Tamandua tetradactyla: one gene and its partners. The protein of the gene in region 4 interacts with the protein of the main gene of each other region in a pairwise test. Links are inferred from orthologs where the notes say so. Each region holds a gene or a part of one and is shown on either strand. Other genes may lie near its edges. The genes, in order: TSPAN4, ABHD16A, CDS2 and CREB3.

Evidence for each region.
Region 1: the proteins of CREB3 (region 4) and TSPAN4 interact in a two-hybrid assay, tested with the Homo sapiens proteins (2 studies listed by BioGRID and IntAct). The two-hybrid records come from large-scale screens. The link is inferred for Tamandua tetradactyla from reciprocal best matches to the Homo sapiens genes CREB3 and TSPAN4.
Region 2: the proteins of CREB3 (region 4) and ABHD16A interact in a two-hybrid assay, tested with the Homo sapiens proteins (2 studies listed by BioGRID and IntAct). The two-hybrid records come from large-scale screens. The link is inferred for Tamandua tetradactyla from reciprocal best matches to the Homo sapiens genes CREB3 and ABHD16A.
Region 3: the proteins of CREB3 (region 4) and CDS2 interact in a two-hybrid assay, tested with the Homo sapiens proteins (2 studies listed by BioGRID and IntAct). The two-hybrid records come from large-scale screens. The link is inferred for Tamandua tetradactyla from reciprocal best matches to the Homo sapiens genes CREB3 and CDS2.

The regions. Positions count from the first base shown.
Region 1 is NC_135335.1:678,588-686,471, reverse strand, and holds the start of TSPAN4 (tetraspanin-4), read right to left. Parts: upstream 3,005-7,884; coding exon 2,699-3,004; intron 1-2,698. UniProt on the Homo sapiens protein: Structural component of specialized membrane microdomains known as tetraspanin-enriched microdomains (TERMs), which act as platforms for receptor clustering and signaling.
Region 2 is NC_135331.1:87,286,182-87,294,189, reverse strand, and holds the start of ABHD16A (phosphatidylserine lipase ABHD16A), read left to right. Parts: upstream 1-4,996; 5' UTR 4,997-5,070; coding exon 5,071-5,202; intron 5,203-6,224; coding exon 6,225-6,281; intron 6,282-7,033; coding exon 7,034-7,100; intron 7,101-7,335; coding exon 7,336-7,422; intron 7,423-8,008. Other genes in the region: lymphocyte antigen 6 complex locus protein G6f-like, read right to left, coding at 949-1,104, 2,152-2,418, 2,503-2,832, 3,339-3,414. UniProt on the Homo sapiens protein: Phosphatidylserine (PS) lipase that mediates the hydrolysis of phosphatidylserine to generate lysophosphatidylserine (LPS). LPS constitutes a class of signaling lipids that regulates immunological and neurological processes.
Region 3 is NC_135327.1:55,673,684-55,680,992, forward strand, and holds the start of CDS2 (phosphatidate cytidylyltransferase 2), read right to left. Parts: upstream 3,003-7,309; 5' UTR 2,638-3,002; coding exon 2,503-2,637; intron 1-2,502. UniProt on the Homo sapiens protein: Catalyzes the conversion of phosphatidic acid (PA) to CDP-diacylglycerol (CDP-DAG), an essential intermediate in the synthesis of phosphatidylglycerol, cardiolipin and phosphatidylinositol.
Region 4 is NC_135328.1:60,057,223-60,064,217, forward strand, and holds the start of CREB3 (cyclic AMP-responsive element-binding protein 3), read right to left. Parts: upstream 3,003-6,995; 5' UTR 2,562-3,002; coding exon 2,403-2,561; intron 2,318-2,402; coding exon 2,146-2,317; intron 2,071-2,145; coding exon 2,003-2,070; intron 1,896-2,002; coding exon 1,806-1,895; intron 725-1,805; coding exon 618-724; intron 520-617; coding exon 451-519; intron 1-450. UniProt on the Homo sapiens protein: Endoplasmic reticulum (ER)-bound sequence-specific transcription factor that directly binds DNA and activates transcription. Plays a role in the unfolded protein response (UPR), promoting cell survival versus ER stress-induced apoptotic cell death.

The DNA of each region.
Region 1 (7,884 bases), on a different chromosome or scaffold from region 4:
CCGAGGGGCAGCACCGTCTGTGCAGAGGCCCAGAGCGACGCAATCAGCCATGGAGGCGGACACAGGGTGGGGCTGCCCAGAGGGTCTCGGGGAACCTCCCAGGCTTATGGCAGAGCCCCCCCCTTGCCAGGGACATCAGCTGCGTGGTGGTGGGTGCCAGGGCCCCCACCCAGACCCTGCAGGCTGCGCATCTGCCCGATGGCTCCTTTCAGGGTGGTGCATATGGCGGGAAACCAAGACCCGAGGCAGTGTTGGCCAGCTGCAACGCCCGCATGGCCTACCCACCCCTGGGGACGGGCCACAGCCCTTGTGGAAGCCCCCAGCCCAGGAAGAGCTTTACTGGCAGGGGCCACGCAGGCCACAGGCTGGGACCACTGCCCCAGGGGACACTCCCACTGCCCGGCGTCCACCTGTGCCCTGAGGTGGACCCCCCCCATGTCACAGCCACACAGGGCTCCCAGGAGGGAGGCCAGGCATGTCCATCCGTCCGTCTGTGGCCCCTGCATGCTCTGCAGGGGTCTCAGGCCCAGGTGGCTCTGAGCTCTGAGGGGCTGCGCCTCACCACCCACGTGCACCCACATAAATGTGCCCCTGGTCTCGAGGCACCCAGCTCTGACCATCAGCCACGAGGACACGGGGCCGCCTCCCTCTCCACGGCCCACCCAGGCAGACAGCAGCCCTCAGCACGTGCTGGACAGTACGGTCACCTTTCCCCGCCCACCAAGGCCACTTGTCAACCAAACCCGCACTTAGTAACAGCCAGGGCCCATCCCCAGGAGAGCACCACGGGTCCCCACCACACCCCAAGCAGGACAGGTCCCCCCAGCTCTGGCCCCAGGAGGCAGGTGGAGGTAGAGGGGGCTACATGTGGGCATTAGGCCCTGACCCCAAGCCGGGGCCCAGGAGCGCAGGGTCCGTCCCCACCTGTGGGTCCCCAAGCAAGGTCTCAACACACTCCAGCCCTGACCCGCCAGCACCAGTGGGGAAACTGAGGCCACCACACTCCAGGCGGGCCTTTCTACCCCCCCCACCCCGTCCCCGGGTTCCTAGTTTGAGTGGGCAGTGGGGGCCAGGCCAGCGCCCCCAACACCCTGACAAGTGCGGGGGCAGAGCAGGGTCGGGAGAGCAGCCCAGCCCCACTCCAAGCCCTGCCGCCCCGTCACCCACAGGAGAGGAGGGGCCGAGCCCAGCAGGAACACAGGGACAAGGAGGGTGCGCCCCCTCCAGGGCCGCTGGGCAGCCCCCCCAGCCAATCCCCACGGACCTGGCCCCACCCTGTGCACCGGCCAGGGCTGGGGGCCTATTGACTTGTTCTTTTCAGGTTTATGAGGCCATGCACTCCAACTGGGGGGGCTCAGAGCAGACAGGCCCCCTTGAGGGACCCTTCCCTCCTCCCTCCAGACAGGTGTCCAGGTCACTGCTGGGCGCAGGGCCACTGCCCAGACACAGCTCCGACCCCGTCGTGATGCCACCTGCACTGCCCGGTGCCCTCAGCGCAAGCTGCCAGCCTGTGGCCGGTCGCCGGCAGCTCCTGGGCATCGTCCAGCTGTCATGCTGTCCCCACAGCCGCACCCACACTAAGCCCTGCCCGCTGCTCGGTTCCAACCACCCCGGCACCTGCTGCGCTGTCCCTGCCCGCCTCGGCCCCTGCCTACTGCAGCTGACCTGGACTCCTCGCCCCTCCCGGACCACCTGGCAGAGAGCAAACCCCGAAGTGCCCCTTCTGGGCATGGACCTCTGGGATGGGAGTCTCCTTGGGTGACACCCCCATGGATGGCCTGGCTGGCTGCCCTTCCCAGTACCCCACCCCGACCACCCACAGCTGGGGGAGGAGAGTGGGGGCCCAGAAGGGAGGGGTGGTACAGGACGGCCCCAGGCTTCCGCCATTTGCAAAGGAGCGCCCAGGCACGAGAGCAGCAGGGCCAGCCCCTTGTCCAGGCATGGAAGGAGGGTGGGCTGAGGACTGTCAGGTGGGGTGAGGCCATGGGCGCCCCCTCCCCACTAGGCCCCCCACCCACCCTGATCCAGGGAGTCAGGATCAACCCCAGAGGTTCTCCCAACTCCAGCCCCCTTCTCGGGATACAGCGGCTAGACAGGACCCACACCAGGTAAGGCTACCTGCCACCTGGTCAGCCGTGACACCTGGGTGTCCTGCCTGCAGTGATGGGGCTAGGAGTGGGGGAGCAGCTGTGTCCATGCCTCTGCAGCTCCCAGGTCCGTGTCCTCAGCCCCCAGATCCCAGCCCATTCCCACTGGCATCTGAACAAACCCAAACTGCCCCAGCAAAAGTTGGGGAAGTGACACTGGGGGAGGAAGCAGCAGGAAAGCCAGGTGCCCCCTGCCCCCAGCTCCAGCCACTGCTCAGGGTCCCGACACCTTCGCCAGCCTGGGGGACCCGGCCTTACATGCACACGCGCATGCACACACGTGTGCACGCACCCTCCCCAGACAGCCCGGCTGGGGCAGCCAAAGCCTCGCGGCTCGCAGGGAGCGCAGCCCCGGGGGATCCGAGCCCGGGACCGCGGGGCGGGGGGTGGGCAGTGCTGGCCCCGACCCAGCTTGAACCCCGATCTCGGGCGCGGCATAGGGCAGAGACCCCACCCCGCCCCGGAAAGGCTCGGGAGGGCACGCGGGACAGGGGCCCGGCCCCACCCCCACCCCCCCGTCCCGCCCGGTCCCCGCGCCGCCCCAGACTCACCCAGAAGAGCAGGTTGAAGGCGAACATGAGGTACTTGACGCACTGGAGGCAGCCGCGCGCCATGCTGCAGCGCTTCAGCTCTAGGAGGAAGATGAAGGACAGGTCCAGATAGAAGACCACATACTTGGGGCCCCGGGGCGGCGGGGGGCGCGGGGCCGCCTTGGTCCCGAAGCAGGAGCCGCCGCCCGCGCGCCCGGACAGGCTGCTGCAGCGCCGGAAGGGCCCCCCGCGCGCCGAGCCCCGCTCCCGGCCGTCCGGCGACGGGCTGCGCCGGTACGCGGACTCGTCCGTGCTGGAGCGGCGCATGGCGCCCGCCCTCCCGCCCGCTAGCGCCCCGCTAGCGCCCCGCGCCCCATGCCGTCTGCGCCTCCCCTCGCCCCCCAGGCCCCGCGCGGCGGCAGTGGCGGGCTCCGCTCGGCCCCGGGGGCGGCGGGCACCGGACCCCTGCCCAGCCGGCCGCGATGGCCCCGCGCTCCGCACCGCCCGGCCAATCCGCGCCCGCTCCGCCCCCGCCCCACCGCGCCGCCGCCCCGCAAACCCCGGCCGAGCCGCCCCCGCTCCACCAATCGCAGCCCCGGGGCGACGCCCCCCGCCCCGCCCCTCGCGCGGCCCACCCTCCCTGGCGCGGGATCCAGGGCGCCCGAAGGGCAAGGGAGGCGCGGGGAGGCGCCGGGTTCCCCGCCCCGCCCCGCCCCGCCCCCGGCCCAGGCGGAGACAAAGCGCTGGGCATACGCAGGGGCGGGCCCCCCCAGACCCGCAGCCCAGCGCCGCGGCGCCCAGGGGGGAGCCCGGCCCCAGGGGGGAGCACGCTCTGCAGCAGCTCCCAACTCCCGGCCCTGCTCAGGGACAGGGGTCAGCGCCGGGTCCCCCCGCTCAGGGGGATCAGTGCTTGGGGAAGGCTGGGGAGCGCAGAGCCGCCGAGGGGGGCCAGGGCTGGAGGGTGGCGCCGGGACGCTGGGCCGGGTCCAGGCGCTGGCGGATGGTTCACAGCTCCGGGGCCCACCCCAGGGAGCAGGCCAGGGTCCCGTTTGGAGGGTGTAGGGGAGATTGCGGATTGAAGAAGGGGCAGCGTCCCAGGATTCTTGGTCAGCGTCCTAGGATTTGAACAAGGTCCCCAGATTTCCATTTACTCCAGCCCGAGCGGGAGGCCGCTTTTGGGGGACCCCGCACCCTCCCAGGGGTGCCCCCCATACCTGCTGTGAGGGCCTGAGCCAGGCTCCCAGTCCAGGGCTGCACCTGCCCCCGACACCCACACCACCGGCACTGTGAGGTCAGATGCCCAGCGCCCGTGGCGCCCTCAGGCTGGGGAGCACTGCCTCAAGGCTTTGTCCTCACCGTGATCCACCCAGCGTCATGGGGAAGACTGGTGGGTGTCAGTTAATCACTTTCTGACCACTGGACTGAGCCAGGCCAGGGAACTGGACCCAGCCCTGCCACCCCAGCCTCAGAGGACAGGGCCTGAGACCCCTGGTGCAGAGCTCAGGCAGAGACCCCAGACTTGGTACCAGCCTGGGGAGGGCCCAAGGCAGGCAGGGTGCCCCTCAGGAAACTGCACAAGGCTGAGGGCTGGGGAGCTGGAATCCGAGTGTGTGAGCATGCCCCAGGGGAGGGGAGCAGGGGTGGGGGGGGCGGGGGGGGGCAGAGAGGAGCACAGGGGGAGAGAACGGAAGGAAAATGGAGGGAGGGAGGGAGGGGACCACAGGCACCGCTGACCAGCCCTGAGGCCCTCACAGCCGTGGGCTGAGCCCTGGGGGTAGTGGGCCTGAGGAAGGGGGGCTGCAGTGGGGGGGGTGGGACCCCTGGCGCCCCTTGCCCCGCTGTGCTGCCCAGAGCCCCTGCCTGAGCCCATGCAGAGGGCCCTGTCCCCAAGACAGGCACCGTGAGTGGACGCAGATGGAGCAGGGCCCTCGCGCAGAGCCTCGGGCTGGGGGGACTCACTGGCTGGGCTTGGTCTCGAGCCCACCACAAGCCCGCAGGAGCCCCTCCTCCTGGGGCGGGGACCCTGGGGACAGATGTGGCCCAGGCTCCAAGGCAGCCCGTGCCCGGGGTGGGGGTGAGGGGGGCTCCCAGGCTGGGAGGGGCTGAGCTGCCCACCGTGAGGGCCAGGTGGGCTGTGCCCGGGCCCCACCTGTGCGTACCCCTCCTCATGCCCGGCCACCTGCCCAGCCCTCCTGGGCTGCTCTCCCCTGGAAGCCTCCGAGTGGCCAGGCAGCCCACAGAGACCCTGGCCCTGCCAAGGTGCCCCCACCCAGCCAAGGCGCACAGCAGCCACAGCCAGTGGCTCCCGGAGGCTGCACCGCCAAGTTCCACCCCTTCCACTGAGATGCCAGCAGGGGCAGGCGCCCCACAGGGACATGGGGGCACAGTCACACACTGCAAAGGCACAGCACACGTGTGAGGCACGCTGCACGTGTGTGCAGAGACGTGTACTCACACACAGACACACTCATGCAGACTCAGGAGGCACTGACAGCACTCACCCCCTAGGATCCAGCCCCCCAGCTGGGCAGGGGACCCCAAGGCAGCCTGCAATGCTCCCACCTCTCCCCAAGGCCCAGGCCACATCAGCTGACCCTGGGGCTGGCCTGTCTCCCTCCCACCACTGGGAGTGCAGGGTGGGGAGAGGGGCCGAGCTCCCTGGGGCCCAAGGCGGTGCCTACCACTCCCAGCCCTGGGCCGGGGGGGTGGTGACTTCCCAGGAGCCCACAGGGTCTGCACATGCCCAGCCACCCAGCTGTCCTGATCCCACATGGGGATCCCCGCCCTCCGTGAGCCTCCAGGGCCTGGAAGTGGTGCACCGCCGAGGGTCAGGGGCAGCAGGCAGGCGGGGCGTGGGGGCCACTCCGGCTGTCCAGGCCTAGCACCAACCCCAAGCTGCCAGCAACAGGCACACCCACACAGGGACGGGCACCCCCAGGCAGCCCCTACACCCCCAAGGAAGGGGCAGAGAGAAAGAGTGCCAGGACCCCATACCCCCCAACCTGGAGCCTTAAGGGCAGCCCCACCAGCACCCCTCACAGACCCCCAGCCCTGCTCCTCACACCCCAGTGCTCCCGCATGGGACATGGACTCAACAGAGAGCCAGGCCAGCTGACCCTCCCTGCCACCGGCCCCAAGTCAGCCCCTGGTCACTTGAATGGCCTCCAGGTGCCCTTCCAGCCCTGGGACCCCCACCCCCCAAGGAATCCCGGGCCCTGGCCCCACCCTGTCCAGGGCAGTCGGAGATGGCAGCCAGTCCTGGCCTTCACTCTCCTGGCCTCCTCCTCCTCCTCCAGGAAGCCCTCCACCCCCTCCTGTTACTTTTTTTACTCTTTTGAACTGTTTATTCCATAGTCAGTTATTTTGGGGATGAAAACTCTAATTGTATATAGATTGAAAGCAAAAAATATCTACCATTTAACACAAAATATCCAGCTATCAACACATAGTTACACAGACACAACTCAGGCAGATGAAAGGAAGGCCAGGTAACACGCAGCAAGAACACCTGCCCTCCGGCCAATGACCCCTCGCTCCCAGCACATTTATTTACTTCCACAGGGTGCCCCTAAGGTAAAGTTACTTGACATTAGTCGCCAGTTGTTTACCACCCCTTTCTTCTATTAATTGTGGGTTAGGGTCCCATCCCCTACCCACACCCCAAGGCAGGCTTCCTGCACTTCCTGCAGGGTCGGAGGTGCCCACCCCTGAGCCCACCGAGGTGTGTGAGGAGCCGAGTGAGACCCCCGTGCAAAGTGAGGAGGCCCCCTGTGGTAGTTAGGTTCAGGCAGGTGTCAACTTGGCCAGGTGAAGGCACCTAGTTCTGTTGCTGTGGCCATGAGCCAATGGTATGTGAACCTCATCTGTTCCTGATTACATCTGTAGTCGGCTAGGAGGGGTGCCTGCTGCAATGAATGATGTTTGATTTAACTGGCTGGTGCTTAAATGAGAGATTCAACACAGCACAGCCCAAGCAGCTCAGCATACCACAGCTCAGCACTTGCAGCTCAGCCCGGGCCTTTGGAGATGCAGAAAGGAATCACCCTGGGGAAAGTTGTTGGAACCCAGAGGCCTGGAGAGAAGGCCAGCAGAGATCACCCTGTGCCTTCCCATGTAAGAAAGAACCTCAGTTGAGAGTTAGCTGCCTTTCCTCTGAAGAACTAATGAAATAAATCCCCTTTTATTAAAAGCCAATCCATCTCTGGTGTGTTGCATTCCGGCAGCTAGCAAACTAGAACAGATTTGGTACCAGGAGTGGGGTGTTGCTGCAGTTTGCAAACATCAGATATGTTGGAACAGTTTTTTGGATGGCTAAGGGGAAGATTTTAGAGGAACTGAGAAGAGAAGGATGGAGAAGTCCTGGAGTGCTTGAAGAGACTGTTGGCGTAAATGGAACCACTGCCAGTCTGGACAAAGGGGACACAAAAGGGACAAATTGGGGAGTTTGCAAAGTGAGGACCATGGAAGCTTGGGTCTGAAGCCAAGAAACCTCGAGGAGAGTGGACCCACCCATATACATGGAGAGGGTGAGTTTACCCTGAAGGGCGAGGATGAGCCTCCCACCTTGTTGCAGTGGAAGAGTTGTGCAGCTTCAGGCCTTGGAGAAGGTACAACACGCTCCTTGGGGACTGGGGAGAGCCTGGCTGCCACCACATGGAGGGGTTGAGCGTGTGCCCCGGAAATGGCAGAGAGCCAGGTGTGGCCTTGATGCCTGGAGAGAGTGGAGCCCAGAGGTGGTCTCCTCAATGTCCCCAGAGGTTGATTCAGAAAGAGGCCGGCCACTGCACAGGCCCTTGGAAAGGGTCGGTCTGCCACTTTCTAAAGCTGAAGGATAAATGACTTTCAGACTTTGAAATCCAATGGTCTTTTCCCTTCTAGTTTCTCCCCATGGAAATGAAAACCTGTATCCTGTGAATATCCTCCTTTGCATATTGGCACCAGACAACTTGTTTTGAGATTCACAGGTCCACAGTCAGAAGAGAATATTTTGCACCTTAATATTGTTTAAGGTGATGCAAGTAGTTGCCAAGTTGACAAGGGGTGGACATGTGGTAGTTAGAGTCAGTTGTCAACTTGACCAGGTGAAGGTACATAGTTCTGTTGCTGTGGACATGAGCCAATGGTACATGAACCTCATCTGTTGTTGATTACATCTGCAGTTGGCTAGGAGGTGTGCCTGCTGCCATGAATGATGTTTGATTTAATTG
Region 2 (8,008 bases), on a different chromosome or scaffold from region 4:
CTTTTTTCTGTGTTCTCTGTCCTTCAACACTTTTATTTTTTGCCCTATTTTATTCCATCTCTCTATCCATCTCTTACCTCTTACCCGAGTCTCGTCCCTTCCCTCTTCCTCAGTTTCCCCCATATGTACTTTGGTTCCCCCGTGACTCATTCCCCACCATTGCTTAAGTGTCTGCATTCCTGTCTCCTCTCTGTCCACCCCTATCCTTCCCCACCCTCCCCACAATCAAGACTTCCAAGAAAAATTAATACATTTAAAAAATTATAAAAAAATTTTAAAAGTCTGTTCTGCTGGCTCAGACCATCCCTTCACTGGCTGCAACAAGACAGGGGACCACACCTTTTTTTTTTTTTTACGTGATGGATAATGCTCCCTTCTCCCCCCCTCCCCAAAAGCTCAGCTGCTGGAGACCAGCTGGACTGTGAAGTCACACTCTCAGCCCCTCCCCCATCGCCAAGGTCGCTGGCGAGTCCTTCAGGTGCCAGCTGGCGAGAGAGACAGCAGGTCACACTTCCCAGCAGATGTCACTGATATCATCTGGTCTTGGGGACAGGTGGGCTGTGGGGTTTGAGAAGCAGAGAAGTGGATTGAGAATATCTTCATTCTCCACATCCTCAGAGAACAGGGCCCCATCCCCATCCCTAACCCCAGTGTTTCCTTCCCCCTCCCTGCCCCCTCTGGGATTTAGACTTCTGCCCCTTAGTTTTTCCTTACCCCAGACGGGCCAAATGAATGTTCTCATAGACCTGGATTTCGGGTTTGAACTGAGGAATCGATGCACCTGGGGAGAAGGAGCAATGCGGGGTTGGGAAGAGAAGAGAGGTCACCTAATAACACAGTTGTTCGTTCCCACCCCCTCCGTTATAGGGGGTTGGGTATGGGGCAAGAGGCGAGGGCTCTGCTCCCTGCGATGCACCCTCTTCTTCTAGGTGGTAGAGAGGGACCCACCTCTGCGCTGAACCCCCTGGACCCGCCGCCTCCAGAGCATGATGCCAAGTATCAGGATGGCAAATCCCTGGCCTGCCGCGAGCAACAGCATCAGGACCCAGGGCACATCCCAGCCCGTGGCGGGGGCACAGACGGAGGGAGAGGCCCCCACGGAGGCTGCATTAAGGGCAACACAAGAGGGATGGAGAGGGAGTCAGCGCAGGGGCCTGTCCCCGTATCCCAAAGAGAGCTCCACCCCACAGCCCGTGGCCCAGTGGCTTTTCCAACAGAAGACACCATGAACTTCCCTCCCCTCGGTGTCTAGCACTCCAGTTGGCCCTTTCTGGGCCACCCACCCTGACCCCATGAGCCAACATCAATAGACAATGGCACTGCCCCCTGCCCACTCATGGAGAGCTAACTCCAGAGAGAACCACCCGTTGTAACTGTGCTTTTTCCTTGGGCTCTTCAGAGTAAACCACCCGTTCAAGAAAAAGTAAAGCGCCTTACATTTATCCATTCTTCTTTTCATTCACTCCATCACCATTTGCTGCATACCCACCCCAGGCTGTGTACAATATTAGGTGCAAACGATGGGGAGGTGAATAAGACTCAGTCTCGTTAATTGGCCTTTGCACACTGAAATAAAGGCCATTTGCTCCTCCCTGCTGCCTTGTAAATGGATTATTCTTAGCTCAACAGCATTTCTTCCCTGTATAATGGACTTTTTTATTGCAAAACAATTATATATTTTTCCTCCTTCTGCCTTCACTAACAATGGGCCAGTATAACATCAATGCATATATCCATTCGTAAAAAGACAATTCCCCCATCAATAACTTTTTTTTTTTTTTCAATAATTCTTATTGTCTTCCTCTCTGCAGTTGAATGGTCCAACAAAAATCATAGATTATCCCATTTCTTAACCCTGGCATATTCCACTAGAATCCTTTTCCTGTCTCTTAGTTGATGGAGGTCTTTAAAATGCCCCCCGCCCCCCTGCCCCTGCCCCAGTATTTTACTGGAAAGCAGGCTTAGCCAGCTCCCTTCTCTGTTATGGATTTGGTCAGTGAGAAAAAAGCCTTCCTCCTCCAGGCAATGGTCTGCTCCATTAGAAGTCACCCCCTCTGACCTGGCCAAGGATGGATTTGGCTCCTCCCCTAGCAAGCAGGTGTAGGATATACAAGAGGCAACCCATCTTTCCCATTTCCTTCCTCAGTTTACCTGCTAGGTTAAAGCTGACTACTGCTTTGTTCTGGGGCAAGAGGCAGCGGATGATTCTTGGTCTACGGCTTCTGGGCTCAGGAAGCCCCTCCCCAGGACACACCAAAAGCAGGGCAGCCCCCTCATTCCAGAAGGACTGTATCCGGCCCTTCACACGCCCCCTTCCCTCCTGCCAGGTCACTGAGTCCAGGCGTCTGGCTGGGACCACAGAGCACAGGAGGAAAGAGCAGAGGGATCCGTTTCCAGCCCTTGCAGAAAACTGGGTGCCTGTGGGGTGAGAAGTGACCCCCTCAGTTTTTGGCCTGTGCCTCCCTAGACCCCACTTATCCCTGATCTGTAAGCCCCATTCACCTCTGAGCACAGAGACGTCGTACACTCTCCAGTTCTGGTACTTGTGGTGCTGACCCAGCACGGCACACCAGTACCGCCCGGCGTCTCCTTCCTTGGACTCCTCCAGCCGCAGAGAGTGGTTCCCCAGCAGCTTGGGCCTGGATTCTCTTCCAGGCTTCCCAGGGTCTGCGGCTGGTCTGGCAACTTGAACTTGGGTCACAAGGGTAGTAGAGGAGCCTGCTGCAGGACTGTGGAACCAGGACAGTAGTTCGTCCCCATGCAAGGTGGGTGGTGAGGGACAAGGCAGCTCCACGGCCTCCCCTAAGGCCACATAGATGACCTGCAGGTTATCTGTGGGGAGGGTGTTGTGAGAATTCAGAGACCTCTGCCAAACCAACAACCTCCCAGTTGACCTCCAACCCCTAGTCTACTGCCCTGATGGGGTTCCCAACACTGGCCTGGGTGGTGACCACATTTCTCAAGTGACAGCTACAAAAAAAGAGAGGTAGAGAGAAAAGAAAAGATAGGGCATTCCTTCCCTCACCCCAGCCATTAAGGGTTCTGAAGGCTAGAGGAAAACAATGGAATAGTTTGTAAATACCCATTGTCTCTTCCTCTCATTTCTCCTTTGCTGGAAGCATTTAGTCATCCATTTCTTATTTTCTAAAGGAAACAGTGCATGGCCATGTGCCTCACTGTTTTTAGGGCTTCCCTAATATTAGAGGCAGTGGAAGGCTAGTTGGGGTAAACTTACATTCTTGAGTCAGATGCCTCCCTACGGCCACTAAGGAAATAGAGCAGTGTCCCTTCCCCAAAACTTCAAATAGCTGAAGAACCCCCCACCTCCTGCCCCTTACCTGCAGCAGCCTGAGGGGCCCCGCACAGGAACAGAAGGAATACGACCACCATGGGGACAGCTGACCAAGTTCTCATGTCCCGGGACGTGGTATTCTCAAGGAGGAAACAGAGCCCAGATAAAGACCCACATTCCCTGGTCTGAAGTGACGTGGGTCTTGGATGGGGATGGGAATGCTGGAGAGATAAAGCACAGTTGCGTGTCCTCTGAGGGAAAAGTGACCACGGCTTCTGTCTCCTACGGGAGAAGAGGAGGAGAACCCAGCTAAGGCCACTCCACAGATGGCCTCGGCTAAGGGACTCAGCTCAAAGACTCTGTCTGCCGCCCATCAGTCTAGAAGTACATTCTGTGGTCTCTCTTCCACCACTAAGAGAAACCAGCCATGACAGGAGATGTCGAGTCTTCACGTCCACTGGACCCAGAACAGGGCTGAGTGTTCAGCTGGCGCTCTGTAAATGATTTGGAATGACTTTCCCTGGTTGATGAAATATTCCACACATGCAGAAGACTGTACTGTTTAGGAAGTGGTTAAAATCGGAAATTTTGTGTTGTATATAAGTTAGCACAAGAAAAAAAAGGCTATATAGGATACACAACCATATAATGGGTAAATAAACTGTGGTATAGTCACAAAATGGAAGGCTTGACAGTAATGAGAATAAACTAACTGCAACCACTCGCTACAAGGTTGAATCTCACAGACATGAGCGGCAAAGAAACCTGATATAAGGAGTGTGTACTGTATGCTTCCATTTATATAAAGTACAAAAATAAGCAAAAACTAATCTCTGGGGTTGGAAGGGAGGATAGTGGTTCCCTTGGGGGGTGGGAGTGACTGGTAGCGAGTTTTTAATGATCTGTTGCTCATCTGGGTGCCGGTACATGGATATATTCAATGGACGCACTTTTTTTTGTATATGTGTTTACTCCAATAAAAAGCTGAAGAGAAGATATATTATGTAGGTGTAAGATACCAAGGAAAAACAAATCTGTATATCTACTAAGAACATTACCATTTCAAAGATCTTCTGTACTGTTTTAACCACAATGTTAAATTTGCTTTTTATCCTTTGCTTCATCATTAAATTTTGTGTTTTTAATCCTATACAATAGTGGCGTGTTGTATGTTTTCTATGATTTTATTTTTTTCACTCAACATTATGGTTTTGAGATTGTCCATGCTTATGGGCCATCATTCATTCACGTCTTTTGACGACTATTCCACACCTCTTTACAATGCTGAGTCTTTCTAGGCACCACCATGGTATAGCTCTTAATTTATTCAAGGCTTCTTTAACTTCTTTCGGTAACTGTTTACAGTTTTCCTCATAAAATCTTGCATTTCTTTTATAACATTTATTTCTAGATGCCTTATCTTTTCTATCGCTCTTGTCAAGCGCTCCTATACCTAACCCCTCCTTTTCACTCTCGTTCGAAAGTTTGGCAGGTATTAAGGGACTGAAAAAAGATTTTATTATGCCTGAAAATGACTAACTTCCCGCGTGCCAACGCCTCCAACTAATTTCTGACCACGGTTGAATCCGTAGGTTGGACTGCGCGAAACTTTTCTCAAGAGAGCGGAAAACGCCTCGATTCGCTGAAAATGTCTCGATTCGCCACGAGGCGGAGCCAGTACGCGACGACGTCAAGGGCACGCTTCACCTCAGCGGCTCGGGGAGGGCGGGGCTAGCAGGGGACCTGCTGCGGGGAGAGCAGCGGCCGGGGCCTGGGCTATGGCGAAGCTGCTGAGCTGCGTCCTAGGCCCCCGGCTCTACAAAATCTACCGGGAGAGGGACTCTGAAAGGGCCCCGTCCGCCGTCCCTGAGCCTCCAACTTCAGTCACCACCCCCTCTCCCAGCTCCTGGGTGAGTCGAGTTACCCCCCTATCAAAACCATGGTACGCTCCAACCCCCCTTGCGGCCTTTGCTACTTAGACGGGCCCATTATCGGAAATAGGGGGAGCTTGTTTGTCAAGCCATTTGTCCGCAGAGTCTCCCTCTTTGTGCTTCCTGGGTTAAAATCACGTCTGTGGAGTGGCCGCCTGCCTTCTTTATTGCTCTTTGGGCACCGCTTTCTCGTTCCGACTTACACTTCTTGCTTTTTCCTCTCCGCGGCCCTCTACCCTGTCTGTTGTGGTTCATGTCCATCCAGATTGATTCCCTAAACCCTGGAAGATTGGGGAGCTGGTGGATTTTGCTGTAAAACTCCCAGTTTCTGCTTCCTCCGTGCCTTCTGGTGACTCGCCCGGCTCCAGTTTATCTTCTCTTAGGCTGGCCTTGAATTTCAAAATGACTTCTTCAACGTATCGTGTATCGGTTCCTCGCCCCTCCCTTCCCTCCCCCCTCTCCGGTCTAGCCTGGAGACCTCTGCACTCAAGAAAGCTGAGGCGTGGGCATGGTGGTAGAGTGAATCCCTAAATGTTCTCTTCCTTTATCGGTAGTCCCAAATTATGTTTACTAGCCCCTACAAACTACCCGCTCCAGTAATTCTTCCCATGATTTGTCTCTTCCCTGATCAACCTGCTCTTATTTCTCATGCTCTTTCCCCCTTAAAGTGGTTATGGTGTCTTTCCTTTGTTCTTTAATCCCTCTTCCCTGAATGCACATGTTCACAACCCATTTGAAACTGGGTTGTGGAAAGGGAAAAGGTCATCCTATGCTGCTTTCATTTTTCTTCCAAATCCATTTCTCTGCACTTGTTCTGGGTGAGAAATCAGCCTCAGGGTGGGGGTGGGAAAGAGGGACTTGAGGGTGCCAGACAAGGGACTTTGCAGTAGCAGAGAGAGTCTTGGAGGCCAGAACCAGAGGACACACACCTGGGCTTCTGAAAGGGATGCGGAAGCACTGTCAATGGGTAGGGTCCTTAACTAGCCCATCTGTTTTGGCAGGATACCTACTATCAGCCCCGTGCCCTGGAGAAACATGCTGACAGCATCCTGGCACTGGTATGTTGGCCCTGGCATCCGGGACTCTCTTGCTTTTTTTCAGACCCACCTGCCCTCTTGAACATGCTTCTCAGCCTAGAAGAAGGCAGTGGCCCTCAAGGGTGGGGGTGCTCTGGGCTCTGCAGCAGACCTCTCCAACACATACACTATACACTGTCAAATGAGCATGTTTGACGCTCCCCTTTGGTATTTAGCATTACTTTCTCTGGGGTAGCCTGAATCATAAGGTAAGCGTATTTACTCTTGGGACCATCTACAGGTGCTAAGTTCTGCAGTCCCCAGTGACCTGTCCTCCCTGGTAACTAATTTCTTTAGTTGCACAGACAGCTGTTCCCTCTGGCAAGGTTCCTATGGTGACATTTGTGCACCTTTTGGGGACGAGGCCAAGGGCTGTCCTGAGCAGGGCCAATTGAGAAAGCTTGATTAATTTGAGTAGAAGGAGAGATTGGCCTTTAAATGTGATGAAATTATGCCAGTGACAACCTGGGGAAGAAAATTGAACCTGTACCTGGTTTTGCCAGCCTCTGTTATGCTCTGACACACTGCCTTTCAACAAATATCAAATACCTACAGATGATGATGTCATGCACAGAACAGGTACCTACTATGAGTATTCCTCAGTTTACCCACAACCTTGATCAGAGCCTAGGCCTGGCAATGGCAGATCAGTGTACATGTGTGTGTACGCACGTGCTTATCCATGTGTACGCGTGTTGATGTATTGCTTGCCTTCCCTGGTCTCTCTGCTGCAGGCTTCAGTCTTCTGGTCCATCTCTTATTACTCCTCTCCCTTCGCCTTCTTCTACTTGTACAGAAAAGGTCAGTGTGGTTTCAGAGGTGATGGGGAAGGAAATGGGCAGGTTTTTTGGCAGATGTGCTGGCCCCCTAAAGAGGATAAGCCTGTGAGCATGGCTTAGCTGCCCTTTTCTAGCAGGCTTCTTCCCCTGAGGGTGTGGCTGTCCCAAAGAGAGAGCCTCAGGGGAGGTTGAGGCTGAATGAGGGAGGAGCCTGGGGACTGTGGAGAGCTTCTCACATGGTCCCATTCCCTTTCCAGGTTACTTGAGTTTGTCCAAAGTGGTACCCTTCTCTCACTATGCTGGAACATTGCTGCTACTGCTGGCAGGAGTGGCCTGCCTCCGAGGTAGGTGGAGGGGAAGCCAGGTTTGGATCTGCCTATGATTGGATGAATATTTATTAAGTACCTTCAGCAAATACAGTTTGGTGCTAGGCTGTGAGGGGGATAGCTGAGAATGGTCTAAGGCGTGATCTTTTCCTTAAAAGGCGTTAGTTGCATATATGAAGAGATAACAGAAAAATTTGCCATTGTTTAGAAAAGATGCTTTGCCCTACAACCCAATATTTCCACCCCTGTGTTATATATATATATATATATATATATATGTATGTATATACACACACACACTAGAGAAACTCCTGCGCATGTATGAAAAATATGTACGTCTGAGAATATAGCATATGGCATCGTTGGTAATAACCTTAAACTAGAACAATTCTTATGGCCATGAATAGTCGGATAATGTGGTATGGTCACACTTCAGAACACCGTGCAGCAATGCAAATGAACAAAATAAAGCCGCATCTGCCAAAGCACACAAATTTCACAAACATGTTTGGAAAGGAGCTGGCCACAAAATAATTTATTCAGTATGTTTCCATTTATATAAAGTTCAAAAGGGGCACAAATGCAAGTAGCAAGGCACTAAAGG
Region 3 (7,309 bases), on a different chromosome or scaffold from region 4:
ACTTAGTTCACACAGATCCACTATGAAGCAGATGCTATTTTATCCTACCCCCACTTTAAGGATGGACAAACTGAGATTTAAACAAGTTAAGTGATAAGTGATTTGCTCAAAGTTACATAGCTAGTAAGAGGCCGAATCCAGGCTCGAGATGGATCTGGCTGACTCTTAAGCCCCAGTTAGCTATTACCTTCAGTTAAAATTTAAAATTCCCCTTTCTAAATGGATGGAACTATTTCTGGTTTCATTTATCTAAAAAAGAAAGCATGAAACAAATAAAGTTCTAATTTAACTAGCACTGCAGTATCTAAGGAAAGAAGAAAACCTCAGAACCTTCACTATAACCTCCAAAATAAAGTCTCCAAAATTGCCCACCCAATCATAAGTTTTAAGACTGCAATCTTTTTTTTTTTTTTTTTAACATGGGCAGGCACCGGGAATCGTAGACTGCAATGTTTCATCCTTTTCTTTCCTAAGTACCTTTAGAAAAACATGATTGAGTGGGAAGAGAATCATTCCCAAAGTTTCAATTCCAAGTTCCTTAGTTTGGCAACTATACTGTACTTTGGAATTTTAAAATTATAAGCACTGTTCCCAGAAGAGACCATTTCCTTTCTTAGTAACCGGCTTTGAAACTTCTATTCTAGGATGCTAAATATAATAAAATACCTCTGACTTAAAACAAACACTTTCTCCAAATTATTTTGAAATTAATGAGTGCTTAATTACAAGACATTCTTGCCACAGTAATTAAGCAATTGTAACAATTTAAGGACTCTCTCAAATGCGTTCCAGTTCTTTTAAAGAACTGACCTGAAATTGTTCTCTGAATTCTTCTGCTATGATGTAAGTGAACTCCCATTCCACAATGCATTTCCCTAAAAAGACATCTTTTGTTTTATTACTTCTAATTGCTTTGGGTTCTACCATAAGGATATCAGCAAAGCCAGAATCATAGAAGCAGATTTTTCCCAAATTGTGAAACAGAATTAAATAGGATTTTTTAAAATTCTAATACATTTATACATCAAACGCAAATAATGCATTTTTAGGGTTCTTAAAATGTGTCATTATTAAAAACCCCACACAAGGTAACTTAGAAATGCTGAGTGATGGAGGGTTGACTGCCTTGCTTGAGGTTAATACTGTATCAGGCTTTTAATAGAATGCAGTAGAGGTTATGTTTCAGGGAACAACATCCAACCAGCGGACCTCACAACCAGAGGCGTCCTACCACTGTACAAGTGGTTTAAGTGCCAACCATAACTATCAAGACACCTTGAGCTGGACAGTTCCTCATGCCCTTCCTATCTACCTAAAACTTGGGATGATAAAGTATTTAAGAATCAACTAACACTTTATCTCTGGCAGACAGATCTAAGAAAGCCGGAACCGGCAGGCAGAAGAGAGTGCAGAAACTTTGTTTCACCTCCTATCCTAGGAGTTTTCACAATAAGTATATATATGTAGTTATTATAAATAGGTCTTTTTTGGGGGTGCGGGGGTGCATGGTCCGGGAATCAAATTCCGGTCTTCTGCATGCAAGGTGAGCATTCTACCGCTGAACCACCCGTGCACCCTATTATGGTTGGCTTTTGAAAATATAACGTAGCAGCTCTTTTATCTCTCTCTTCTCAAATCCTCTAGGCCCACGGTCTCATTAACATCAATTACAGTCTGTCACCCAGAAACTTAAACAGGCTACATGCCCTCCAGGCATCTGAATACTCACCAGTTAGACGGATGACTAGAGTCCCTTAAGGTGAGGCAGGATATTTAATCTGAAAATTAACGACTTCAAAGTACCTTGTCTCTGCAAGTGACTCCTAAATCTGCATCCCCAGCCCTAAATTCTCTCCATAGTACATTCTAAAAACCAATATGGGAAGCTCTCCTGGGATTATCCACCATCAACAATTACAAAGTGGTTTAAAACCTTGTTATCTTTCACCAAAATAAGCCCCTGACGGTGCCCACAAACTCTTCCTTATTCTTGTCAACAAGAGTCCTCCTAGTTTAACCACTGTTGGCATCCTGTCACCAAATCCTGTGCTCTCTTCCTTCCTGATGTCTAACGCCCCTTTCCTCCCGTAATCAAAAACTAAAGATTACATGTGTGCAGAGGGCCAGAGGTACGGCAACAAGGACTGATAGGAACAACTGTTCCTCAGTTTCAGCCAATTGATAACAGGTGGGAAAGTGCCTGCAGAACTTCCAATTATCCAAAATAGACAAGAAGTTCAGGTTATTGGGCGAAATCTTCTGATTATTAAAGCAACATGTGAACCAAAAACAAAAAACTGGCAAGCCCTGAGTTTAAACAGCCTCTTTCATTCTGTCCATTCTACACATCATTGCCAATTTAAGTTTTCAAATAACGCTGTCCCTGACCACTATTAACTGGAAGAGCACAAATACTAACACCAAGTCCCAACCATTACGCGGCTATTCAATGTTCTCCATAACACAACCACAGTCCACCTTTCTCAACTCCCCGACACAAACCTTACACTGCTGCTGAAGGCTCTCCTTCCGCGCCCCTCGTCCCCCGACCAGCCGTGTTCCCACCAAGATGGCCTCCTGTTTACCCTCCTCCTCCTCTACCCCAAGGCCCACGCCTGAAGCGGGAAACGAAACCATCCTTTCGGAGAATACCCTCCAACACCTGCTGACTAACGAGGGATTTTCACTACGTGACTCGAGAAACCTTCCTGCTCAGAGCCAACCGAGTTCAGTTCCAAGATTTAAATCTCCTAGAAGGCAAATCCTAAGGCATGCCTTGATCGCCCCTACGCCCCAAACAATAAAAATAATAAAATTTCAAAGGAGCAGAGAACCTAAGTCGCGCTCAGAGGAGCCGCATCCTAGAGCAGGCTTTGCGGGGTCTGAAGGTCTTCACGCCCACAAAGGCCTCTACGAGGTGGGGGAAAGGAGGGGGACCCCAGGCCGCCGTGAGGAGCAGACGGCCGAGAGCAACCCTCCCCGCGCTCCTGCTTGTGTCCGGGGATACCACGCCCCACCCCCTACAGACCCCAGAGCCGGGCCAGGGGGTCTGATCGCCCCGATCCGCTGATTCCAATGAGCGCCCCGCGGGGGCCGCGCACCACAGGCCCCTCGAAGCTGCCCAGGCCCCGGTGCCGCCGTCGGTCGCGACAAAGGGTCTGCAAGCCAGACGACCTCCCGCTCCTCCCGGCCGCGCCCCCACCCCCGCCACCGCCCCTACCTTGTCCTCGGGCGGTAAGTCCGGTTCTCTGGCGGCCCTCTGCCTCAGCTCCGTCATGCTGGACCCCGGCGCAACGCAACCGCGGGCGAGCAGCGCAGCCTCCCGGGCGGCACCTCAGCGCGAGCGCGCGCGGGCCTCGCCTCGTCCCTCCCTAGCGGTCCGCAGCTCCACAGCGACTCACAGGCCCCACCGCTACCCAGCCACGGACCCCCGAGCTCGCCCCGCCCAGCGCCGCCACCCTGTCACCCCGGCAGAGCGCGGTCGGCCTTCCCCCGCCCCGGCCGGCCCACCCCTCCTCCGGGCACGCGCACCACCGCCATCACCGCCGGGGAGATCCACCAATGGCGCGAACCCGCCAGGAAAGCTCGGCGGCGGGGACGGGGCGGGACTTAGTGGCGGGGAGAGGCGTGCATTGGACAGAAGCGTGAGGGGGCGGGGAAAGGCGTGTGTGTCCGAGGGAGACTAGCCAATGGGAACTCTGACCTGACTGGGCTAGCGGACTCTGGCTCTCTGGCCCCTGGCGATAACGGGTTATGAAGGGCAAGAGGAAATGGCCAGGAGGTTCCAGCCTGAAAGTGCTTTTCCTCGGCTTGCTGTCTTCCGTGGCCGGGGCTCTTTCCTCAAACACAGTGGGTGCTTAGTAGGCCGGGGTGGAGGGGCCAGGTGAGCCGACCTGTGTAAGAAGAGGGAGGCACGTGATAAGGCAGAGACACCCAAACTTCACGCTGCGTTGCTTTGCCAAGCCGTTGCTAGGAATAATTGAGCACTAATTATGTGCTAGGTACCGAGGATTTTACCTGGTTTATCTCATAATAATCGGCATAGTGCTTGAAAGGGGTACTATTTTCGTTTTTACAGATAAGCTCTTCCGCGGGGTATGAAATTTCTTGTTGTGTACGGTGTACTTCTTTTGACAGGAATACTGCCAACTTTGTTCACTGCTGAATCCCCTATGTGCCTGACACGTTCTGACTTGTCAACAAGTGCCAGACTTGTTGAATGGATTTTAAATTTTCCTAAAGGAAAACGATGTAGGCAAAGTCCATCGACTAGAAAATACCTGGCCAGAGCCAGAACACACTCTTTAACCATACTACTGTACTGCTTCCTTGAATTCACTGTTACTACACCCGTGCTGCCCCAACGTTGCTTTCAGCACTTCCTCTTCACTGCCTTGTCAGTAATCTCAAACAAAACAAATAGAAAATGGGATTCCTGCCCCTTAACCATATTGTAATCAACAAAGAGGAAGCTTGCACACGTACAATGCTGCAACTTCACATTAATAATTTTGGCTTGAACTGTGTGCTCTTGGGAAAGTAGTGAAAATTTCCAGATGGACATTATATTTTTCTGATTCCTACAGCAAAACAGTCCCATGTTGCTCTATCAGTGCTCTGAAGTGTTAAGTAAAATAAGTTTGGAGGAGCACTGAACTCAAGATGTGTCTTTCTATTTAACTCCTTGCACATATACTTATTTTTTTGGAGAAACAAGCCACTCCGTTCAGGCTATTATGTTGCTTTGTTTTGTCTTTCATTAATTATTTATAAAAGGAAATATACTCAACAACAGCAAGAAAAAAACAACCCAATTTTAAAAATAGACAAAAGACACAGACGCTTTTCCAAAGAGGAAATACAAGTGGCTCAAAAGTATATGAAAAGATGCTCAACTTCACTATTAGGGAAATGTGAATCAAAACCACAATGAGATACCATCTCAAACGTACTAGAACGCCATTATCAAAAAAGCAAAACTACAAGTGCTGGAGAAGATGTGAAGAAATAGGTAAACTTATTTATTGTTAGTGGGAATGTAGAATGGTGCAGCTGCTCTGGAAGGCAGGTTGGCAGTTCCTCAGGAAACTATGTATAGAATTGCCATGTGATGAAGCAATCCTATTACTAGGTACATACTCAGAAGAATTGAAAGCAGGGACACGAACAGACGTTTGCACACAAATGTTTATGGGGACATTATTCACGATTGCCAATAGATGGAAACAGCACAACAGATAAGTGGATAAACTGTGGTATATACATACGATGGAATATTACGCAGCTGAAAGACAGAATAAAGTCATGATGCACGTGACAACGTGGATGAAACTTGAGGACATTATGTCGAAAGAAATAAGTCAGAAACAAAAAGGACAAATAGTGTATGGTCTCACTAATATGAACCAACTATAATGAGCAAACTCTGAGAGAGTTAGGAACATGGGTTATCAGGAGATAGAAAGAGGGTAGAGTTTGAGCATTTTGGTGCTTAAGGAGTGCAGAATGTTTAACAAGATTGATTGTAAAGATTCAGAAATGGATAGCACAATACTGTGTGATGCTACACAATACTGTAACTATAATGAACAAAGCTGAGTGTGCATATGATTAAAAGAGGAAGGCAAGGGGTATATATGACCCGGAAGGGAAGACAGAGGATGAAAATTAGGACTGTATAACATAGCAAACCCTAGAGTGGGCAATCATGGTATTTAAAGGTATAAATATAAGAAAGTTTTTATATGAGTGAGAATAAATGTATGTCACCATTGCAAGGTGTTAAAAATAGGATAGGATGGCATAGGAAAAAAATACAATTAATGCAAACTAGGATCTATGGTTAACAGTAACACTATAATATTCTTTCATTAATTGTAACAAAGGCAATATACCAAAGCTAAATGTCAATAAGAGGGGGATATGAGGGAGGAGTATGGTATATTTTTTCTCTTCTTTCTTTGCAGAAGAAATGGAAATGTTCTCATATAGATTGTGGTGGTGAATGCAGAACTATGTAATTATACCAGGAGCCATTGATTGTACATGTAGGATGAATTGTATGGTGTGGAAATAAAACTGCTTAAAAAACTAAATAGAAAGGGCAGGCAATGCTGGCTCAGTGGCAGAGTTCTCACCTGCCATGCTGGAGACCCGGGTTCAATTCCCGGAGCATGCCCATGCAAAAAAAAAAAAAACTAAACAGAGAGATACAAGTGCTGGAGAAGAGGTGGAGAGAGAAATATACCTATTAACTGTTGTTAGAGAAGTAGAATGGAACACTCCCCTGGAGGGCAATATGGAAGAACCACAGGAGACTAAGAAAAGGCTTGCCATATGATCCTGAAATCCAGTTATGAGGTAAATACTTCAAAGAACTGAAAGCAGGTACACAAACAGACATTTGCACACTAGTGTTTATGGTGACATTATTCACGATTGCCAGTGGATGGAGGTGTTCCAAGAGTATGGTGATTGATGAGCAGAAGGGCAATGTGTGGTGTATACATACAATGGAATATTGTACGGCTGCAGAAAGGAATGAAGTTGTGAAGATGCAATGAGGTGAATGAACCCTAAGGATATTATGATGAGAAAATAAGCCAGAAACAAAAGTACGAACATGGTATGGTCTCACTAATATAAACTAACTATAATGAGCAAACTCTGATAATTAAATTTGAGAGCACAAATTATACAGAGATAGAAAGTGGACAGAGATTGGGCAATTGATAATTAAGGAGTGCAGAATGTTCAGTAAGGCTCATTGTAAAGGTTCCTAGATGGTAAGCTCTTACAGCAGTCACATTTAGTGCTGAGTTTTAGCTGTTAACTCTAAATTCTGAGATGCTGTGCTCTTTATGTGCAACCTGGTAGCTCCCTGAAACTTTGGGTATTTTTATGACACTTGGGACTTAAGAGTTCTGCGGCTCTGAAAATCGCATCACTCCATATTGCAACTGTTAAAGAAGCTAAAAAGGAGATCAGACTTCAGTTAGATATGAATGAAGCTGTACGGTTAGGACTAAGATAAATCAGAATACAGCGTAAAGGAGGCTATGTTTATATTTTAAAACTTCAAATTCTGTGTGAAACCAAAGGAAGAAATATTTATTTTGTCCAAAATTTAAATTTTCTGTAGCACACTGTGCCAGTTTGAAAATATTGTGTACCCCAGAAAAGTCATGTTCTTTAATCCTCATTCAAAATTGCTGGGTGGGATCTTTTTTATTGTTTCCATGGAGATGTGACCCACCCAATTGTGGGTAGTAACTTTTGATTAGATGGTTTCTATGGAAATGTGTCTCCA
Region 4 (6,995 bases):
CTTGCTCTGACTTATACTCCTTTGCAAATACCTATAGTGTTTTTTTTTAATGCCCTATCAACTAGGCAGATCATATTCACCAGGCATTCCCTGCACTCTACCTTCTGGTCCCAACTCTACCATTTTACGGTTCCAATCAAACCGGACTATGTTTTATTCTCTCTGCCTAGAATGCTTTCACTACTCCCAGAATACTACTCCCTATTAAATGCCATCTGCCCCATGAGGTCTTTCTTGCTTTCCTCCTTTCTCTTACTTGGTACTTATTTATCCTTAGTTACTCTGAATTTATTTCCCCATTACTGCAAGCTTCTTGGAATCAGAGCCAAGAGAAGTCCAAGTACCAGCCTCACATGTGGGAGCTGCCCAGTGAGAAATCAAGTGTGGCGCAGGGGAAAGACAGCATTAAATGGGAAGGAGAGGAGGGACTGATACTGGAGGGTTGCTTACAGATTCTGTTCCTCCAAGAGCTGTACTTTGTTCTTTAGCTCCAGATTCTGGGCTGTGCATTTCAGCACCCTAGGGGAATAAGACAAGCATATGGCCTGTATCTTCCCTTCAAAAGCCAACTATCTCTCCTCCCCCAACTCCTCTCAGAGTCCCTTTCCCCTTCATACCTGCTTTCTAGACCCCCCACGTACATCTTCTTCTTTCTACGACTCTCTTGAGCAGACTTTTTGTTTCGAATCTTCCTCCGCACTCGTTTCAGAGCTTGTTCCTCCACCTGGGAGAAGAGAGGAAAGGAACATCAGAGAAACATGGAACCATAGAGTTAGAGAGTAAATGAGTTCAATCTTCTTCCCAATGTAGGAAACCTTTTCCAAAGTGTCCCTGACCAACAAGCACTAGACTTCTGTCTGAATGCTTCCAAGTGTCAGATGTTAATACTCCCACAAACCCAGATCAAGTTTAAAATCTTTCTTATCCTGAGCCAACATCTGCCTCCTAATTTCTATCCATTGGGCTTTAGTGTCTGATATCTGGGACCATGTAGAATAAACCATGTTTAGCTATTTGGCACTTGACATTTCTTCACAATCTTCCTCAGAGTTAAAAACAAAAGTAAAACTTGCTCAAAATGTGTAATTCTTCATCATCCTGCTCTCCTCAGGGTGGACTCCATCCTGTTAATAACTGTCAATGATCTGGGTTCCAAACGGGACACTAAGAAATGCTTTCACTAATTAAGGAGAGCAACACCCCTATCAATAGAGTCTCCAGATCCCATTCATTTTTCAGTAGCCACTTCATGTTAATGACTCATCTTGTACTTTTTTAAGAAGTTAAAATTCCCTTAATCTTTCTGTCAATGAACATTGATTTTATCACTGTATCACAGTGTTGTGCTTGTGAAATTATCACTCATTGCCTGTAACTTAAAAATCAAGAATTTACATTTATTTTCGTTAAACTGTTGAGTTCAGCCTTGTCAAATTCTAAAGCTCAATTCTACCATTCAGCAAGAGGTGGATTACCATAAAGCCATAGATATCTAAGTTTCAGGGCCCCTCACTTGGCACAGTCTTTGCTGAGACCTTATACTAATGTTGCACTGATAATTTTGAATTTTTTTCTTAAAAAGAACATCAAAATTTGTATAAGCTTCAGACCCCACAAAATCAGCATCTGCTTTTATTTCTAGCATATTAACTACATGCCCCAGCTTCCTGCAAGCAACAAATTTGCTAAATTTCTTACCTCAGTTCCTTTACAAGTTACTGATAATACAATTAACAGGATTGACCTGCTTGGCACTCATACAGTGTCCCCTCCCCACAAGCCTTTGCTCCCTATAGGACTCTTACCTTAGTGAGAGGAAGAGTCCCAGGCAGAGTAAACCCCTCCTTCTCCAATAGCCTCTTCTCCTCATCGGTCAGTATCAGACTACCAATCTCCTGGGGTTATGGGGTGGTGGGCAGCAGAGTTGCATGAAGATGTCAGAAAATGGGGAATCCTGCCCCCCCCATACAATTTGGGATTAATCCTCCCATAAGTCAAGTACCTGCTCTGCCTGCTCCTCCACCTGCAATGGAGTCATCTGGGGCCCCTTCTTTCCACAGCTCCCACTATCTGCAAACAAGAAAGTAAGAATAGCCAGGTCCATGAGCCCTCTCCTCTCTCAAATTTCATTTATTTCAGACTCACCGAGATCTACAGAGCTATATTCCTGTGGGAGGGAGTAGGTGTGATCATGGTAAACGGGACAGAGGTTGGAGAAGCTGAGAACGTTCAACGATGGTGGGGGGCTCAGCAGGGAGGTCAGGAAATCCTCCACCTCCCATTCGCTCAGTACCTGCACAGGGTTCAAATTAATGGGCTGTGACTGATTACTAAATCTCTGCTTCACGAATGCCCCCCTCCCCCTCCGGCCCGCGCCTCCCCGACACAGAACTCTCACCCACCTCAGCGAGTGGCAGCTCCCATTCCTCCGGAACCTCCACGGCGGCCTCCTCGGACGCCGCCCCCAAATCTCCGCTTTCCTCTAGCAGGAAGTCCAGCAGGTCCTGGTCACCGGGGCCCAGCGCCAGGTCCATATCGGTTTCCACGGGGGGTTCGACCATCTACCCAGCCCCAAATCCCGTGCCCCAGGAATAACCTCCAGCCCAGTATGCCTCCCCCAAATATCGTAGGGTTTCTTTTCCGCCGGGCTTTCCCCTCTAGAGTCTGACGCGCCTCCCAGAGCCGATTCTCTTCAGCTTCCAACACAACAGAAGTGACGCTTATAGCCCTCATGGCATTCTGGGACATGAAGTTCCTCCCAATGCAGAAGTGGCCTTGGGGCCGCGCCACGTCCCTGGGGCTATGCAAACTAGAGCGGACGTTCCTGCTGGCCACCTCACACCCACGGGGCGGGGATTCTAGGGATCCGGCTCCGCCTTCGCCCAAAACGAGAAAAGGAAGGGTTAGAGACTAAAAGGGAACTTGGGCACGGTTCGGACGTTTTCGTCCGACCGCGCCGCACCCTTGCTTCCTGCCGGGGAGGGGCTGCGCGTCTTCGGCGGGCTGCCGAGCATCGAGAGCTGGCGCCAGAGCAGCTTCCTGCAGTCCCCGCAACCATAGAGCGCGGGCTCAGGGCGCCGCCCGCGGGTGGGGGACTTTCCGGGGACGGAAGTGATCGAGAGAGTGTCTCTCGGCGGGAGGGCGAGGCCGGAGCCCGAGAACGACCGGGAGAAAGAGCGGGGTAGCGGGCCGGCGGGCGGGGCACAGAGCCGGGCAGCGCAGGTAGGCCGGACGGGGCCGAGCGGGAACGGCGGGGTGGGGCCGCGAGGCTGGACCTGGGAGGCGGGCTGGCGCGCGGGCGGGGCCGCTGACTCTTCCTGCGTCTCCTGTTTCGGATCCTCTTGGAGAGGTCAGCTTCCAGTTAGTGAATGTCGCATTGGATTCAGAACTAAGTAGGCTGTTTGCTGGAGCCAAGCCCTTCCTGGGAGCAGTCCTTTTCCTGAGATGGGCTTGGGGGAGGGGGAGGACTTGGTTGGCAGTGAAGCTCGGGGCGCGGATAGGCTTTGGGGTTAGTTGATAGCGGCTATGTGGATAGGAAAGCTTTGGGTGAGTTTGGTATTAAGTGGCATAGGGTTTAGGATTCAAGGTTAGCTTTAGGAGTTAAGACTTAGAGTTATTAATGTGTCAGGTCCGGTTTGTAGGCAAGGTTTAGATTAAGATCATGGTTTTGTTTTTTAGGATGGCTAGCAGACGTCAGAGTTAAGAGTTAAGGGGTCAACAAATGGGAATTAGGTTAGACCTACATTTTAGGGATTAAAGATCGTTGGCGTGGTTAGGTATGAGGAATAAGCAGTGAAGGAGTGGGTCAGGAATCAAGTTACACATGAGCTTTAGGTTTAGGGATCAACATTTAGGGTTAAGGTTGAGGGGGTTCCCAAAGGTAAAAATCAGATCGGTATTATAGATCAGGGATTGGGTTACCATCTCTGCTGTGAAAGAGATGAATGTCAAAGCCAGTACTGGGGATCAAAAATAAATTAGGGTTGGGGTTAATGTTAGGAATTAGGGGCAACTTTACGGTTATGGTTGAGGTCAGGGTAGTTGAACTTGTTCTGGTGAAATTTAAGAAGTTCTTGGTAGGTAGGTGCCCTTGTTTTGGGCAGAGGTCTCATTCCTTTGTAGTCACAGGGAGCTTCTTGGGCTAAATTCAAGCTAGAGTTCTGGGCTTCAGTTGGAAGTGCAGGTGTCTAGGATTCCAGCATCTCTATCCCATCCTCTAAGACCAGGGCTCGTATTGTGGTCATTAAAAGTTGGAGGACTGGAGTTCCTAGACTCTTTTGTTTAAAAGAAGGGAGGTAGAGTGGGGATAGAGGCCCAAGAAATGTATAAAGCCAAATCATAAATGGGGGACTACTAAGGGAGAAGGGATTAGTGACTAAGGGAGAAGCCGGCCAAGGAAACACTGTTGCCCTGGTGAAGAGAATGGCTGAATCCCCCAAAAGTTCACCCCATTGCCTCTCACTGTCCTCTCATTCTCTAAATGTTTTTTAAATCTCTCCAACTGTCATTCCTGGCCCTGCATTTCATTCCCTCACACGAATACTTCCCTTGCCTTTAACCCTCTCTTATTATTCATTTTACTTAAGTTCCCAACCTTAATTCTGCTTCCCTCTCCCCTTCTTAATCCACACATCTGACCTTACTTTACCCTCACCCCAAAACTTGAGCTTTCCCATCATTTTAAAGCACTCTTCTCCCATTCTCACCCACTCCATCTATACCACCCTTTTTCAGCACAACGCAACTGCTGAACACCCCAGTCCCTGCTGTGTGCCATCCTTTAATTCTTAGCCTCCTTGAATTTCTTGGTCCATTTGCAGATCCCCTTCCCCCACTCCCCAAACAGAAAAGAGGAAATGAGACCCAAAGAGGAAACTGGGTCTTGCTGATCCCACGCCCAGCCAGGCCACTGACCACACCCCCATTTCACACCCAGCCTGACACGGCCACTGACCACAACCCTATGCCATACCCAGCCTGACCCTGCCACTGGCTATACCCCACACTCCACCCCCAAACTCCAGCTTTTCTTAGCCACAGCCAGTGTCCCTTCACCCTCATCTCCAGCCTAATTTGGCCACTAACCACAGCCTTATTTCTTCCCTACCCTCTCTAGCCTGATCTGGCCTCTGACCTCACTCCATCTTTCTCTCTGAGTCTGACATCTACTGCCCACATATTCATTCCTCCCCTTGCCCCAGCCTGATCCAGTGACTGATCATATATTCATATTTCCTACTATTGTCATCACCACTAGTCTTCTCCCTCCCCATATTGATGCATTCACTGACCACACCCCATCTGCCCCTACCTGCCTACTAACCACGTATCCATTTTTCCCACCGCCTAACCATACACCCTAACCACAGCCTCATCCTCATATTCCCAGCCCAGCCTGATCTGTCCTCCGTCTTCCCATTTTCTTACCTAATCTCATGCTACTACCAATGACAGGAAGCTATGGAATTCCAGCCTAACCGTGAGTCCTTGTCTGATAAGATTGACAGGACAGACTGTTGTCAGGTCCTGTCAGTTCTACCTCTTAAACTTTCTTTAAAGTGACATCCTCCTCTCCACCATTCTAATCTTGGCTTTATTATCACTTACATTTGCTAATATGGTGTCTCTCTAACCAATCTCCTAGGTAATTGCCAGAGTTATGTTCCTAAAAATCCAGTCCTGATCGTATCTCTTCTCTACTCAAAAGCCTCCCCTGGCCTCCTGTTAACCTCCAGAATGTAAAACTCCTCATTATCCTCTCTTGTCCTCCCCTGCCTTTCCATCCTAACCCTAACTTCCCCACCACTGCTCCCTTGCGGGCACCCATGCTTCAACCAGCCTACCTGCTCACTTCCCCGAATGCTCCTCCACAATTTCCTGCTTCTCCACTTTTGCATATGCTCTTCCTTCTGCCTGGAATGCTACCCCTGACCCATCTCCAGTGGCCTAGTGGAGAAAGCCTGGGTTCAGATCATGGCTCTACAAGTTATTAGCTGTGTGACTCTGGACAAGTGCTCTTTGAACAAGTACTTCACTTTGAACCTCAGTTTAATAATCTGTCAAAATGGAGATGATGCCTGCCTTGCAGGGTTGTTACATGTAAGGATCAAATGAAATTTTGTATACAAAGCAGTTAACATATAGTTAATAAATGACAGATCGTTATCATTTTTTATTATCATTATTATTTTTTAATCTAACTTCAAAGGACAACTTTTTCATGGGGACTTTTCCTATCCACCTTCCCTAACCTAATCAGATGGCTCTTATCACAGCCTGCTCTTTATTGTAATTCTGTACTTGACTTATCCATCCTCTTGACTGGGAGCTCCTAGAGGGCAAAGCTGTTGTCTTACTCATCTCCCTTCCCACCCACTGAAAGTTTTGGCCCTCGGCCTTCCCCACATTGGGGATGCTTACTGAGTGAATGAAGAATGCTTACTGGGTGAATGAAGGAAAATGTATACCTAAAGGAAAAAAGGATGTTGGGAGGAGGGGGGCTGTGTGCTTGAGATGGGGTGTATTTAGAGGGGAAGTTGCTTGCATTGGATGGAGTCTTTATGGAAAGATCAAATGGCTGCAGTGGCATCTGAGTCAGGGCTCGGTGACTGAGATAACAGATATACAAAGAGACGCCATGGAGGTAGCTTTGTGAGAAAGAGCTCTGTGATGGGGGTGTGTTTGGGGAAGAGAAGTGTGCATGGGATAGGGGTGTATGCGGGGAGGATGTGTATTGGGGAGGTCAGGCCCAGCCCTTCAGCTGCCCAGTCCAGCTCTAAAAGAGCCTCCGGCAGCTTGAGGCCGGATATGTCAGTCTCACCCACAACCCCCCCCCACCACCACCACCACAGTTGTGGACTCAGAGGCCAAATTTGGTAACAGACTGAGTATTACTCCCCCAACCCTCTTACTTTCTGGCTCTGCCTTCAGTTTTCTCTTCCCCTTTGTCCCTTTCTGTAACCCCCTATCTTTCTGCGGCTCCCTTTGTGGTTATC